Caenorhabditis elegans: one gene and its partner. The protein of the gene in region 1 purifies or fractionates together with the protein of each later gene. This does not show direct contact. Each region holds a gene or a part of one and is shown on either strand. Other genes may lie near its edges. The genes, in order: pygl-1 and W04C9.6.

Region 1 (8,556 bases):
GAGTTCGAGTTTCCAAGCGCAGACGTGCACCAGGACGCATTGGACCATCCCACCGTGTCGATAAGGAGGAGACAATCAAATGGTTCCAGCAAAAGTACGATGGAATCATTCTGCCACCAAAGCCAAAGGTCAAGAAGAACTTCTTCCGTCGTCGTTAAGTTTTTCTATTTTCTGAATAAACTGTTGTTATTAAAAATGAAATTGCTAATGTTTTGTTAAAGTTGTGAATCATAGTCTGATTGTCGTGGATCTGAACTTCAACTTCCTGGAATCAATAATTTTACGTTGCGAATGGTCTTCTGATGTAGAAAGTTCAGGATATTTATCCAGGAATTTTGAAAACTCATCGAAAAGGAGTTTGGTATTTTGCTAACGAGCTGGTCGTAGAGGTATCGAAACTTCTTTGAAGATCCTTCAGACAGCCATAATTTTTAATTAAATTTCAGCATTTGCAGATTCGAGTCAAAATTAAAAAAAAAAAGTTGATATTTTCAGTCAATTTATCATAAATATGCAGGGCAGACGTGCAAATAGACAATCTCAAAGTATGGCAACACATTCGGGGGAAGTACGATTATTGGACTGGGGGCAGAGAGGACAAAATCAATTTGATCTTGAAGATTCACAAGAATTATCGGGGGAGGGAAAGGCTTCTATAAAAATGCTATAAACTAAATGGGACGGAGAGGAGGGGAAGTTATGGCGATAATTAATTACAATGTTAGTGCATAGAAGAATTATTCGCTCTTCTCATTCTCATATGGTGCTGGAAGAGAGCTCTCGAACTGGTCGATTCCCCAGATTTCACGAGCGTATTCGGTGATTGTGCGATCTGTTGAGAACTTTCCGGTCGAGGCGATGTTGTAGAGGGCCATGCGAGACCACTTCTCTTGGTCGCGGAATGTAGCGGAGACCTGAAAATAATTTATTTTGATCAGTAAAAATTTGAATTAGTTGAATTTTTTGAGTTTTACCTTATCCTGGGCTTCAATGAAAGCGTCGAAATCGGCGCACACCATGAAACGATCATGATAGCGGAGCATGTTGGAGAGATCCTTGAGCTGATCTGGATCTTCTGGAGTGAACATGCCACCTTCGATTTGCTCGATGATCTGCTTGAGCATTGGGCTCTTGTCGATGAACTCCTGCGAAGAGTATCCGCGCTTTGTGAGCGCCTCAACCTCCTCGACGTTCATTCCGAAGATGAAGATGTTCTCGTCGCCCATCTCCTCGGCCATCTCAACGTTGGCTCCGTCGAGAGTTCCGATTGTGAGAGCTCCGTTCAACATGAACTTCATGTTTCCGGTTCCTGAAGCCTCGGTTCCGGCGGTCGAGATCTGTTCAGAGAGATCAGAAGCTGGAATGATCTTTTCAGCCATCGAGACACGGTAGTTCTCGAGGAAGATGACCTTCAAACGATCACCAACGATGGCATCATTGTTGACTTGTTCGGCGACGGCGGTGATCAAACGAATGATCTGCTTAGCCATATGGTATCCTGGAGCAGCTTTTCCTCCGTACAACACGGTACGCTTAACCATATCGATGTTCGGGTTCTCCTTGATACGATTGTAGAGAGCAATGACGTGGAGAATATTGAGAAGCTGTCTCTTGTACTCGTGGATTCTCTTCACATGCACATCGAACAACGAAGCGGCGTTCACGTTGACATTGTACTCGTCGCTCAAATACTGGGCGACTTGTTGCTTGTTCTCGAGCTTCACACGACGAATCGAATCGAGGAACCCGGCATCGTTGGCGTACTCCTTGAGCTTCTGAAGCTCGTCGAGATTGGTGATCCACGACTCGCCGATCTTCTCGACGATGAGGTCGGCGAGAGATGGGTTGGAGAGAAGAAGCCAGCGGCGTGGTGTGATTCCGTTCGTCTTGTTTTGGAAGCGATCCGGGTAGAACTCATAGAAGTCACGGAAGCTGGAAATGGATGATATTAATTTTTTAAAATGGTAATTTTGCAATTTGCGCGTAAGAAAAATTGGGCGGGCCGGGATTGCAATTTGCGGCGCGCGATTTAGCAACACCGCCGCACGATGTTTTTTCTCTTTCTGTCCGAATTTTCAATGACAAATTATCAATTTTTCGTGATTTTATCGAGTTCACATATCGAAATCTTTCAAAACATCATGCGAAAAACAGCCAAAATAAATTCGTGCGGCGGAGCTGCAAAATGATGCGTCGCCCATTGGTTCTAGCGCCAGGTTTCAGAGCATTTTCGCTTACGTGGAGCTCTTGAGAAGATCCGAGTGAAGAGCCGCGACTCCATTAATGGCATGAGAAGCCACAATGCACAAATGAGCCATATTGATGCGCTTCTCGCCGAACTGATCGGCCTCCTCGACAATCGACATACGACGCATACGGTCGAAATCTCCTGGGAATCTCTGCGAGATGGTGTTCATGAACTTCTGATTGATCTCGTAGATGATCTCCAAATGACGCGGCAACAAATTCTGCATAAGCGACACTGGCCAGCGCTCGAGGGCCTCTGGGAGCAAGGTGTGATTGGTGTAGGCGTAGGTCTTGATGCAAATGTCCCAGGCCTGATCCCAGGTGAGTCCCTCGACGTCGATGAGGAGACGGATCAACTCGGGAATTCCGATCGATGGATGAGTGTCGTTGAGCTGGATGGCCACCTTATCCGGGAAGGTCTCGAAGTTGACACGGACGGCCTCGCGGTTTCCGTAGATGGAGGACTTGAAGCGGCGGATGATGTCCTGGAGGGTGGCGGCGACGAGGAAGTATTGCTGCTTGAGACGGAGCTCCTTTCCGAGGAACATCTGAAAATGTGGGGAAATTGATTTTTTTTTTCTGCCAAAATCTAGCTCAAACATACGTTGTCATTCGGGTAGAGGACACGAGTGATGTTCTCGGACAAGTTACGATCCATCACAGCCTGCACGTAGTCTCCGTCGTTGAAGAACTTGAGGTGGAAATGATTTTCGGCTTTGGCGGACCACAAACGAAGCGTGTTGACGATGTTGTTCTTGTATCCGGGGACTGGTGTGTCGTATGGCATGGCAAACACAACTTGAGTGTCGATCCATTTCGATTTTCCCTGAAATAATATATTTTTTAATGAAAAATAAAAAAAGTAAGCGAAAAAAAGAAAAAAGGAATGGGCCGAACCGGGGATTGAACCCGGGACCTCTCGCACCCAAAGCGAGAATCATACCACTAGACCATTCGGCCACGATTAGATACGTGAAAGCTGGTGATGAAGAGATATCGAATCTTATTATTTCTCGCAATCAGCCAATTATCGATTATTGTGCATCTTGATTGCTTCCAAACACGATTTCCAAACATGGCCGAATGGTCTAGTGGTATGATTCTCGCTTTGGGTGCGAGAGGTCCCGGGTTCAATCCCCAGTTCGGCCCATTCCTTTTTTATTTTTTTAAATTTAATTTTCTCCAAAAAATCAAAACTCACATCCTCCTTCACAACTTTTCCATAAAAGTTGACCGGAAGCATGTACTCTGGACGAGCCTTCTCCCATGGATTTCCGAAGCGAAGCCAATCGTCTGGCTCCTCAATCTGCCATCCGTCACGAATAAGTTGCTTGAAGATTCCGTACTCGTAGCGAAGCCCGTATCCGTAAGCCGGAATACCCAGCGTGGCCATCGAGTCGAGGAAACACGCGGCGAGACGTCCGAGTCCTCCGTTTCCGAGCCCGGCGTCCTCTTCGATCTCCTGAAGCTCCTCAATGTCTAGACCGAGCTGGTAGAGCGCCTCGTCGACGGTCGCCTGAATTCCGAGGTTCATCATTGTGTTCGACAGCGTTCGCCCCATGTAGAACTCCAACGACAGATAGTAGACCCGCTTCGGATCCTTGTCATAGTAGTGTTGTTGAGTTCGTATCCAGCGAGACACGAGATGATCGCGGACAGTGTTGGCGAGCGCGAAGTAGTAGTCGCGATCGGTGGCCACGTTACGATCCTTGATGATCGAGAAGTGAAGGTGGCGATTGAACGCCTTCTTGATGTTCGACACGTTCTCCACTTGAGCGATTCCGCGCACGGAGATCTGCTTGCGACGATCGTGATCGTTGGTGATCATGCTGAACAGCTTCGGACTCGACGATGAGGCAGTCGATTCGGCAACCACGGGCTGCTGAAAATTGGAAATTGGTTTTTTTGGGAGAAAAAATGAGCGGAAAGTGGTGAAAATTATAACTTGTTCGGCTACTGTGATAAGAATGGTGGACAAACAAAAATTTCGAACACTGCAGGCAATGGCGAGTCAGGCCAGAAAACAAAATGTGTTGCGAGATAGTAGTCGACGCAGTACAAAGTCAACAGGAGGGGGGCAGTTCAGTGATCAGTCAACAATCAATATTGATAGCAGGGGCCGGCCCCGTGATTTCCAAGATGAAAGATTTTTGAAAAAAGTATGAAAGCCACGTGGATTTGCTATATTTTTCAAAAAAATCGCAAATTTCCGCAAAAACCTTTAGTTTTGCGAACTTTTCCGTGTCGCAGTTCGCAGAAACTAGCTTTTATTTGATTAACATCATTTATTGGGCATTTATCCAACGTTTTTTCATTGATCTAGGTGCATTTAAGCCGATAAGGGACCAAAAATGCCTCAATCAACGAAATAAGTGATGAAAATATGCAATAAAAGATGATAATCAAATAAAAGTTAGTCTCTGAGCACTGCGACACGGAAAAGCTGGCAAAACTGGGGATCTTAGCTAAAATTAGTAATTTTCTGCGAAGTTTTGATCCTATACAAGCAAGCATTCCTCCTTGAACCAAAAAAAAAATCGAAGAAAAAATATTTTCGCTGATCATTGAGGAGTGAAATGCATCGCTTCAAACTGATCAGGCTAAAACGTCGAATAATATCAGTGTTGACCGTGTCGGCGGTCAGTCAACATGCAGAAAACTACCGATAAACTGATAACGCGTAAGTGATAATAAAACAACAATCAGTAGACGACGACAGGATATTTCGGTGTATTTTTATCACCCGGTCGGCCCAAGAAAATCGAAAAAAAAATTAATGAAAGTGAGGGGCACTTTCTTCTGGGCTACGGAAGACTTTGTTCTTTGCTCACAGCCTTTTTTGTTTAGCCTGAAGCTTGAACTTTAAAGCTTTTCTACTTATGATTTTGTCAAAGAAAAGCATTTAATTGTCGCAAAACCGAATCTTCAAAGATTGTGCTGTCAACTCGAATTAATTAATTAAAATCTTGCGGAAATCTGTTCGAATATGGAAAAGACTATCGGTAGACATGGCCGCTTTGTGTTTGATAAACAATTCTTGTCACTGCCGATTTATCAATTCTTTTTCAACTGAGACGAGTGTGTGCACGTGAATGATCGATGCCATTGGAAATTGAGAAAATTTGAAAAAAAGTTCCGAAAACTTTCGGGGAGCTGCCACGCTTATGTGGAATCGAAAAAAGAGCATAGAGGCCCGAGCCATCTAAAAAAAATGGATGGGGAGAGGATGCGAAGGGGTTTGTGAGCGTGTGTGTAAAATGTGAGGAGAGGAAAACAACTCTGGGAGAAGCAGAGATGTAGAGAAAAATACATGTTGTGTGTGACCCCGACGGACACTGATAGGGAAACAGAGAGAGAGAGAAGCAGGCGGAGATTCAAATTTTTTGTCGAGAAGATGACGAGATTGAAGATTGAAAAATTGAAAAACCAAGAAATCAAGAGATTTTTTATTTTTTTTTTGGCGAGGAAAAATCTGTTTCTAGAAGCTTTAATATTAATTTCCCGACTTTCTTATCATCACCGCCTCCTGTTATGATATCAATGAGAAGACGGGCGGTGCAGCAGAACAACAAAACGGGTATTTTTCCGTTTTTTGAACACTGTATATGTACAGTGAGGACCAATCACCGCACAAACAACGCGACGAGCTGGAGGGGGCAAGGTGAACGATTCTTGAGGCGTATAGGTTCGATAGATTCCAATTTTCACCGTCGCTTATGAAATGAAATGACCAGTGAAACGAGAGCTGGGAGCCGAAGTCCTATAGAAGAGGAAGAGGATGGGCTGAAGAAAAGTGGCGGGAAAAGTAGACTGACATGTGTGTGTGTGTGTGTGTGTGCCGGCGAGAAGCGAAAAGGAGAAGCCTGAAGTGAAGCGTACGTGTTTTTCGGCAAGATTCAGCCGGCCGTTTCCCCATTTTGCACGCACACACTCACTTAAATCCCTGCCTGCTCGCTGTTTTTTTTCTTATGATTTTCTGGCTTATGAAGAGATGAAGCAGATGAAGCAGATGATGAAGAAGAAGCTTGATAGCATGAAATAATCAGCGAATTACTTACCGGGCGCACGTTGTTCCAGTTGAAGAATCCAAAACGAGCAGCAATATCCGACATTTTCGGTGTCACCGGCGGCTACGAAGGTGAACAGTGAAGAATGACTGATAAAAATTTGGAGAAGACAATCAAAAAATTGACGAAAACAAGTGGTTTATTGCACCGAAAATGCAGAAATTGGCGCCATGATTGAAAATTGGAAAACAAAATTTTCGCGCCAACAACACCGAGGGTACGGTAGGCGAGTACGCAAACACCGATGCGCACCGTACTCGCCGTAGCGGATTTGAATTTAAATTTAATTAAAAATAAATAAATAATTTAGTTTTTCTTGCTTGAAAAACAGTTTTTCCTAAAAATTGCAGATTATTTTAAAGAAAATTCATTTAAGATCAAATTTAGAACAAATTATATTGAAAACTTGCTTCAAAGCATAGAAAATTGGCCGTAACAACATAATATAACTGTTGAAAAAAAACTTTTTATCTCAATTTTTTAATGATTTTTTAAAAAGAATTTTGCAAGTATATAAGAAAAGTGGATGAATTAATTTCGAATTCCTGCGCAAATAAATGAAACGTTTTGACTTTTTCCCATTTTCTGTCAAAATTAATTGTTTTTGTTTTGATTTTTCGATTTAAAACACTTAAAACACCGTTCATCTAATTTTCAGATATTTTTTGCGTGAAGGAAAATTGATACCACTAGAAAAAAAATACCACTAGAAAAAAAAATTTGGCGTAAAAATCGATGATTTTACTTTTTTTCCGGAAAAAAAGTCTGAAAATTTGAAAGAAAAAGGTGATTCAAGCCAGAAATCGCTAAATTATCGTCAGAAATTCAAAAATAATTACCTTTTTTCGAAAAAATTGAAAAAAAAAATTATTTCAAATTATTTCATGAAACAACCTCTAGTTCAATAATAAAATATTATTAAAATGTTTAATACAATTAAAAAAATTCAATTTTACTGCTAAAAATTTATTTTTTTAAATAAATTTATATTTTAGATATTTCTGGAACACTACATCCTGAGAATGCGTATTGCGCAGCACAATTGACGCGCAAAATATTTCGTAGCGAAAACTACAGTAATCCTTCGAATGACTACTGTAGCGCTTGTGTCGATTTACGGGCTCGATTTTCGAAATGATTTTATTTTCGAACAGTGACAGTGATGACACAATCAAACCCGTAAATCGACACAAGCATTACAGTAGTCATTTAAAGAGTTACTGTAGTTTTCGCTACGAGATATTTTGCGCGTCAAATGTGTTGCGCAATACGCATTCTCAGGATTTAGTGTGTCCGTAATAAAATCTGAAGAAAAACTGCTAAAAAATGTCTTTTTTAATTAACAACATGTTGTTTAGTATTTTCTGGTATACTTAGTTATGCTGAACAGTTTTATGAAATAAAAAAGAATGACTCCATACCATTTTACCGTACTTTTGAATTTTTGAATATAACAGCTTTTGGTTAAGTTTTGAAATTTTTTAAAATAAACTTCCGTACAAGCTAGAGTATGTTGTTTGGTATTTTCTGGTATATTTGATTATGCTGAACAGTTTTATGAAATAAAAAATAATCGCTTCGGTAATTTAGACGCACATTTCTTAATTGAATTCGCATGGTTTAGAGTGTGATGAGGTAATTTTTCTGTGGAAAAATTTCCCTTATTTTTTGTAGATCAAGTCGCTATGGAACATCTTGACACCATGTTTGGAAATCGACGAAAATAGTTGAAATTTTTTGAAACTACGGTTTTACCGCCGATACCTAACGAGACCCAACTTGTAGGAGCGGAGCTTTGACGTTAGAGCGCGATTGCATTTTCGTGTGCAGCGCGGCCTATCCTCAATTTTTTTGCCTTTTTTAGAAAAAAAAAAGCGAACATTTCGCTGTTTCTTTTCGTCGCTCACAGTACACAAACACGGATGCTAGGCCAACTTGAACAGAATCAGGCACCCCCAGCAGGCTCAATAGCCCAACTGTGAACCAAGCCAGAGCCGGAAAAAAATAAATAGGGGGTCACAAGCGCACCGAGCAGAATATCCACGAAACATGTCCTAGAGCGAAATTTAAAAAAAAACAGTTTTTTCAATTTTGTAGAACTCACCAAAAATGTAAATTAAACAATGGCCATCGATAAGATGCCATTTGCGGTGGGGTCTTGAGCAGAATACAGTAACCGCCTAATATGTGAAATGATACAAGTACGGCGGTAATTGCGTGGGAGGTATAGGCCAGTCCTTGC
Region 2 (7,354 bases), on another chromosome or scaffold:
GGGGACGGGGACATTTGGAATACCATCGGAGGCATTGGAGGTGGTGGGGGTGCCGGAGCCATTCGTATCATTGGAGCCATCACGTAAGATGGTGGAGATGGTGGGAGACTGGAATTTTTTTTTTGAATTTTTTTTCATAACACGGGCTTCTGGCCTTCCTCATTGCACTTTTCGCGCTCCGATGATAATCGCCTGCCGGACGACGCGTGGAAAAGTGGTGTACTCCCCACGGACAAATACATTTAGTTTTCAACTGAAAACCGAGCCGCGACGCGACACGCTACGCTCCGTAAATGGCCTAATTTCTTTTTTTTAATCTTGAGTTAAAGTTTAATTTTAATTATTTCTACAGAATTGAATGGCTGGGAATGTGCCACGTGGCCGAGAATTCTCCTGCGTGGCCTAGAAAATTCAAAAAAATATTTTTTGGTGGTTTTGATTACAAAATAAAGGATTTATACGGATAAAAACCTATTTTAAAAGCCGTGAAAAAAATCATATCAACCACTGCCTAAAAGATTGAAATTTTTATGATGGCCGAGAATTCTCAAGTGTGGCCTAGGAAAAATCAAGGCTTTTGAAAATTTGCTCATTTCGAAAATTAAAAAAAACAACTCAATTGATAGTAAATTTTAAAATTAAAAATTATTTTTCTGGTTTTTTTTTCTCAATTTTTGCAAAATCAAAATTATAATCAATTTTTAATCCAGAATTCGTCAAGTGGCCTAGAATTCTACTGCGTGGCCTAGAAAATTCCACCAAAATTTAAATTTTCCAAATTGTAAAAATGCTCCAAAAAGTTGAATGGTGGCCGAGGTTTTTCGTTTTTCACTTTTCACAGCTACGGAAAAAAACTCGGCCACCAATAGTTTTTCCTAGGCCATGTTTCAAATGCCCTATTTCTATGTTAATTACAGTATTTTCTAGACAAGATTTTAAAAAAACTCACGAATAGCACATGGAGCTCTGACACTTGCTCCCACCAATACAAAATTCCGAATTTTTTACAAAAAACTGCAAAACTATAAGAATTTGTGGTAGAAATTGGGGCATTTACGTAATAATAATAATAGAAAAATGTCCGCAAATTTTTTTTCATAAATTTCATAGGGAGGAGGTAAGCTTCAGCTAGAAGCCATTCAATTTTATTGGGGCGCCGAAAATCTTCGGAACACTTTTACAATTTATACAGTAGTGTACAACTTTTACAACTTAATAATATCTTCAATACTTCCAGAATATTCTTCTTTTTCCTCCTCAATTGCCACGTCATCATCTTGTAATCTGGTCCATTTTGCTGGCGAGGCGTCGGCAAACAGGCAGAATATAGTATTTACGAAGAGAAGTAAGCCCGCATGCGCCAGGAAACAATTACGCCAGTCTGTGAATCTGAAAAAAATAATCTTGTCTTTTAGGGGACCTACGCCTGCCTGCCTACGTCTGCCTTGCAGGGGACCTTTGCCTACCTACTTGACTACCTTCAAGTGAGACCTATGCTGGTTTGCCTGCATTTTTGTCAGTGCCTTCTAGGCCTATGCCTACCTTACAAACTATGTAGGTCAACTGCCTGCTTTCAAGGTGGCCTAGGTCAGCCTACATGCTATCTACGTCTACCCCAATGTACCCTGTGCCTATCTACCTGCTTTTAATGCTATCTGCCTTTTCGATAGTCTTTTAGGGAATCTACGCCGGTCCAGCTCACATAGGTTATCTATGCCTATGCCTTCCTGCCTGCCTCCAAAGTGACCTACGCTTACCGTGTTTTTTTTTCTAGACCGTATATACCTACATGCCTGCCTTTAAGTTTACCTATGCCTGCCTGCATTCCTCATGCCTGCGTGCCTACATGAATACCCTAAAAACTCACGTATCATCAGTAACAATCATATTGACGAAAAACGGTTCGATGAATATCGTGCAAGCCCAGATGTTCATGATCTGGAAGAGAAATCGTTGGCCTAAAAATTTTCTCGGCCACCCCCTTACCTGCTGCATTGCGAAATAGGCGTACTGCTGGGAGTGCAACGTGGCACACTTGTTGAATCCCGCCGTATTGCACCCCATCACACTTTCGGCGCAAATCTGGAATGATGGAAGAGAATAGGAAAACTAGGCCATGGATGTATGTGCGCTATGTTGATAATCGGTTATTTTCAACGTGGATTATCAATTGAGCGCACTTGTCCCACTGGAAGAGTTTTCCTATCTAGGCCACCACCACCACCCACTCACCATTATAATAATAGCCAGCAAGTGTTTTTCCTGTGGAATAAATGCTAGAACGATGAAAAAAACGGCGGCCACGGCCAGAGCGATTGTGTTGAAAATTTTAGTTTTCAGAGTTTCTGAGATGAATCTGGAATATTGATTTTTGGTGGCCGTAGAGAGGAAAAACTCGGCCACTGATTTTTTTCACAATTATAAAATTATTTTTCCAGGAAAAACCCCCGAAAAACTCACTTAATATAATCACTAATAATTCCCGACGATAATTTCGTAAAAAATTGAAAAATAATGGGTAAGGCGGCCAAAAAACCGGACGAAAGTACGTCATAGTTCAAATAATTTTTCATATATTGCGGATTGAATTGGGATACCAATTGAACTGTTATCAAATCTCCAAACGATGCGATCCAACAAGCCCACAGGCTTAAACTTGTCAGAATATGACGGAATGGAAGATTTTTTGGCCGGGATACCTGCAAAACGAAAAAGTAACGGGCTTCGAATTTCCCCCCCCATGTTTTCAAATGGAAGAGGTGGCCGTGAATAAAGCTAACCTCGACCGGGGGTCGCGACTCGCGACAAACGGGAAAACTCAAAGAAATTTCGTACTGTCGCTACTTTTTTTGAGTTTTCCTGTTTGTCGCAGGTCGCGACCCCCGGTCGAGGTTCGCTTTTTTCACGGCCACCTCTTCCATTTGAAAACATGGGGGAAATTCGAAGCCCGTGAAAAGTTAGGCCATGCAATGCGATGTGGTGGCCGAGGTTTTGAAAACTCGGTTACTCTCATGTAAAAAATCTTGAAGTTGAAGCAAATTTGCGTACATGAAACCCATTTACCTTGCTAGCAGTTTTAGAAAAATTTGGGATTTTCTCATACTAATGAGGGAACGTCTTAATTGTCGACAAATTGCGTACCCCGAGGAACCCACTAATTCAGTCCTAGGTTTAGGCATAGGCTAAGGCATAGGCTTAGGCGTAGGCCTAGGCTTAGGCTTAGGCTTACACGTGGTGTCAGAGTGCCTCATTTCGGCTTGATCTACGTAGATCTACAAAAAATGCGGGGGAAGAGCCGCAGAGTTTTCTACTGATTTCGCATGGTTAAGAGTGTGCTGACGTCACATTTTTTGGGGCAAAAATTCCCGCATTTTTGGTAGATCAAACCGTAATAGCACAGCCAGGCACCACGTGCGCTTAGGCTTGGGCTTTCCGTAGTCCTTCGGGCGCGTTTTTCTCAAAAATGATACGTGGTACAATTTCAGGTTTTTTTCCGCTCCAAAATCTAGTTATAATTTGTGTCCGGTAGAGCGCGTTTGCACTCACTTTCTTTCCCGATTTCCCTTCTCGAATCCTCTCCAATTCCTTCTCGCCAACCCAACTGTGCTCACTCGGCGAGCACTTGAAAAATAGGAAAAACAGCGAAAAAGTGACCAACGATACACCGGCGTGCACATAGTAAACCGACGTCCATCCACCAGACGAAGAGCATAACCATCCCGAAACTGGCATTGTAAATATATTTGAAAGTTGTGTATTTCCGGTTAATAGGCCAATGAATACTCCGTGCTCGTATGGGGTCGCCCAATTTGCTGTAATTGAGCCAGCGAGGGGAAATGTGGCTGAAAATGCCATTCCTTGACAAATACGGGCGGCCACAAACCATCCGTAGCCAATGGTACTTGCCAACGGGATAAGGGCTGTTGAAACTGGAAAAATTGAGTGCAATACATCATATTTGACGCGCAATTTTAAAATTTAAAAAATGGAAACGCGCTCTAATGATGCTTGGTGTACTCCTCTCGGACAATAAATGTCAATAATTTTTGAAAAATCGATAATTTTTTTTTAATTTCAGAAAAATTCGTGAAATCTGTTTTATTTTGCGCGTAAAATATGATTCTTAAATACTTAATTCAGTATTTTACGCACGTGGTATCAGAGTGTCTCATTTAGGCTTGATCTACGTAGATCTACAAAAAATGCGGGAGAAGAGACGCAGAGTTCTCAACTGATTTCGTATGGTTAAGAACGTGCTGACGTCACATATTTTCGGGCAAATAATTCCCGCATTTTTTGTAGATCAAACCGTGATGGGACAGCCTGACACCACGTGCTTACGCGGAATTTTTCACAATTTTTTGTGCTTCATGCACCATGTTTTTGTTTCGAAAAATCAGATTATTGTTTTGCGCGTCAAATTCAACGCCCACTGTGCAATACACCATATTTGACGATCAATTTCAAAAATTTTGTATGCTTTCGATGCATGCTTTTTGGGGTACTGTAGCTTTGAAAATACGCATGCACTGGATCTGACGACAAAATGCACAGTTTTTATAAAATTAGTCTATAGAAATTAGTCAGTTTTCTCGAAACAAATAAAAACTACAGAAAACTCGGCCACCGATATTTTTTTTTTTCGCGGCCACGATTGACGTCATACCTCCCGAAATAATTCCGGCGACAATGAAGACAGGTTTATGCGGCAAATGTTGAAAAGAAATGGAAAATGGAATCGAGGCGGCAAGACTTCCAATAGCCACACACGATTGAAGAAAATTCGACTCTGATTTGGTATAGTTCACTGAAAAAATCAACTATTTTGGCGGCCGCCAATGGAAAAACTCGGCCACCGAATTAAAAAAAAAACCTTTTGAAGTTGAAGTACTATTATCATCTTGCATACAAATTTTTGTAAAATTATAAGTATTCATATTTGAAAGAATCGAGGTCAAACACAGTGTGGCACATATTAAAATCTGCAAAAAAATCGTGAAAATTCAATTTTCCGGGGGTTTTGAGTTCAAAAAGTACCAGAAATCGGACAGGAACCGGCGAGTTGACCATGGTGCATCAGAAACCGGAATTTTAAATAAGTAAAAAAATTTATGATGCTCGTGGTGATAACGAAAAGTGCAGTGATCAATTTAAGGGAAATACTGCTGGGGGATTAAACGTTGACACTGTCAACTTGATAGTGTTAATTTGATCAATGCTTTGTACTTGTTTTTTGCAGGAAAAATTCTTTGAAAATTGCAAGACTATAGTATAGTCTGAAAATTTGATGAAATCTAAAACTTTAATAAATACCGTTAATTATCATTATTTTTATGAAATTTTAATATAATCTACTTAAAATTTAATTTTCTAGGCATCTGTGAGCTTAAATTTTCGATTATCCCTCGCCAAATTAAAGATTTGCAGACTTTTAAGCTTATAAGCTTATTTCAGTGAGAGAGAGCATTGTGAGAAGAGAAACGCAGACGAGGCTGGCGCGTTTCTCGTGCTCTGACGCGAGTCTCGATTTGCTTGCGCATTTCTCGTGCGCGCGACGTTCATTTTATTTTTCCGATTTTTTTTCAGTTTTTCTGAACTTTTCTTCTTGAATTTGTGATTTTTTATTTATTTTTCACGTCTTGTTGCAAAATAACTGATTTTTCACACAAAATATTCGAATTTTCAGGTCGGCAACATGGGATTCTTGTGGAAAACTGCAAAACTCGGAATTAAAGTTGGACTCGTCGCCGGCGCCGTCAAACTGTCAATCGATAACGATATTTGGTCGACTAACAATGTTAAAGTATTAGTTTTCCCCCGTTTTTCCACGAAAATTTTCATTTTCAGGGCAGCGAACTGTATCAAAAGCTTAAAAAGTACATTCTTCCCGGCACCGTCGTCTTTCCAGAGCAGGTTTTATCGATTTTTTCTCTGAAAATGCAATTTTTTTCTTATTTTCAGCTCCCAACAGTCGAAGATGTGCAGCTGAAGGCCGGTGGAAAGTGGAACAGTGCTGTTGACTCGGTAGGCTGCATTTTTGAGAGGAAACACGGAAAAATTGCTGCGAAAGTTGGAAAAAAGTCCTGGAAAATGGAGATTTGGCGCCGAACGTTCAAGAAATTCCATAATTTCAAAAATCTATCTGAAAAATTGAAAAATATAAATTTTCAGTCATTTTTAGTCAAATTTCAGAGCTAAACGTCGAAAAAAGTGCCTAAAACTAGGAAAAATATGACAAAAAGACACAAATTTTGGAGAAAATTGCTGAAAATAATGCAAAACACTTTTTTTCACAAAAAGCGAAATTCAAAAAAAATTCCACGTCAAAAATTAACCAAATGCAAGTACGCTCCATCGCACTTTTTTCCAATTTCTGACTCGAAAAGTCTTAAACTTCTGGTTTTGTAGGAAAGATAATGCAAAACGCAATTTTTAGTCCAAAATTCAGAGAAAATTCTGAAATTGTTTTTAAAAAAAATGCAAGCACACTCCATGGCACTTTTTTTTCAAAATTTCGCGTAGAAAATTACAGACATTAGCAAAATTCCGACGATTTCGCTGCGAGACCAGAAATATTGTAGGAAATTCAAACATTATCCGAAAATAATGCAAACGCGCTCTATCGCACTTTTCTCCAAGTTCCCACTCAAAAAGCATAGAAAATACCTGAAATTGCCGTTTTTTTTCACCGGAATTTCAAATTTACGCGATTTCGCTGCGAGACCCAAGCTAGTGCAGTGGAGCGCATTTCCAACAATTTCAAACTCAATTTTTTTCAGGTATTCACCACAATCGAGAACGTCCCATCAAGCGTGAACACAGTGGCCAATCGACTCATCAATAATAAATAAATTCCCCATAAAAATTATCGATTTATCGATTTTCCCCCCGAATCCTCGTGTATTCCTTCGTTAGAATGTACTTTTTCCCTCCTCATTTTCTAGAAGTATTTGTGTGTGTGCTCTATGAAAAAATTTGCAATTTTTGACTTTAAACGGACGGTGCATTATATTATTTTATCAGTTCCCATCGTTGATCAATTTTCTCCACTGATTATCAATTCACTGATAAGCTCACACTGCCTGCCCAACTCAATTCATCGCAACTTCTTCTCCCTGCTTTTTTTTGCCATGAATTCGACGGTGGCTTCCCGTTTCTCATGGGGACTCATTCTGGCGTCGATCGATTTTTTGGCGTGCCTACTGTTCGCCTGCCTGCATGATGGAACTTTCAAATTCGCGAATTTTACTTCGCAATTTGGCGATTTTTCGTTTTTTACGAGGTTCGATTGATTGGTGGCCGAGTTAATTTTAGGCCACGAAAAATGAAAATTGAAGCCGAGTGTCATTTTCGC

The links.
Region 2: the proteins of pygl-1 (region 1) and W04C9.6 fractionate together in Caenorhabditis elegans (co-fractionation; one large-scale study listed by BioGRID). This does not show direct contact.

The regions. Positions count from the first base shown.
Region 1 is NC_003283.11:3,576,971-3,585,526, reverse strand, and holds pygl-1 (Alpha-1,4 glucan phosphorylase), read right to left. Parts: upstream 6,386-8,556; 5' UTR 6,360-6,385; coding exon 6,306-6,359; intron 4,141-6,305; exon of another isoform or gene 4,130-4,140; coding exon 3,449-4,129; intron 3,397-3,448; exon of another isoform or gene 3,325-3,396; intron 3,208-3,324; exon of another isoform or gene 3,136-3,207; intron 3,074-3,135; coding exon 2,852-3,073; intron 2,796-2,851; coding exon 2,239-2,795; intron 1,933-2,238; coding exon 975-1,932; intron 915-974; coding exon 738-914; 3' UTR 485-737; downstream 1-484. Other genes in the region: rpl-11.1 (Large ribosomal subunit protein uL5A), read left to right, coding at 1-158.
Region 2 is NC_003279.8:482,921-490,274, forward strand, and holds W04C9.6 (MFS domain-containing protein), read right to left. Parts: upstream 5,473-7,354; 5' UTR 5,071-5,472; coding exon 5,038-5,070; intron 4,983-5,037; coding exon 4,874-4,982; intron 4,808-4,873; coding exon 4,667-4,807; intron 3,930-4,666; coding exon 3,547-3,929; intron 2,700-3,546; coding exon 2,461-2,699; intron 2,357-2,460; coding exon 2,233-2,356; intron 2,083-2,232; coding exon 1,987-2,082; intron 1,939-1,986; coding exon 1,868-1,938; intron 1,390-1,867; coding exon 1,206-1,389; 3' UTR 1,119-1,205; downstream 1-1,118. Other genes in the region: W04C9.9 (Zinc finger protein), read right to left, coding at 1-108, 950-960; W04C9.2 (MICOS complex subunit MIC13), read left to right, coding at 5,696-5,803, 5,848-5,913, 5,962-6,024, 6,780-6,851; haf-4 (ABC-type antigen peptide transporter), read left to right, coding at 7,131-7,282.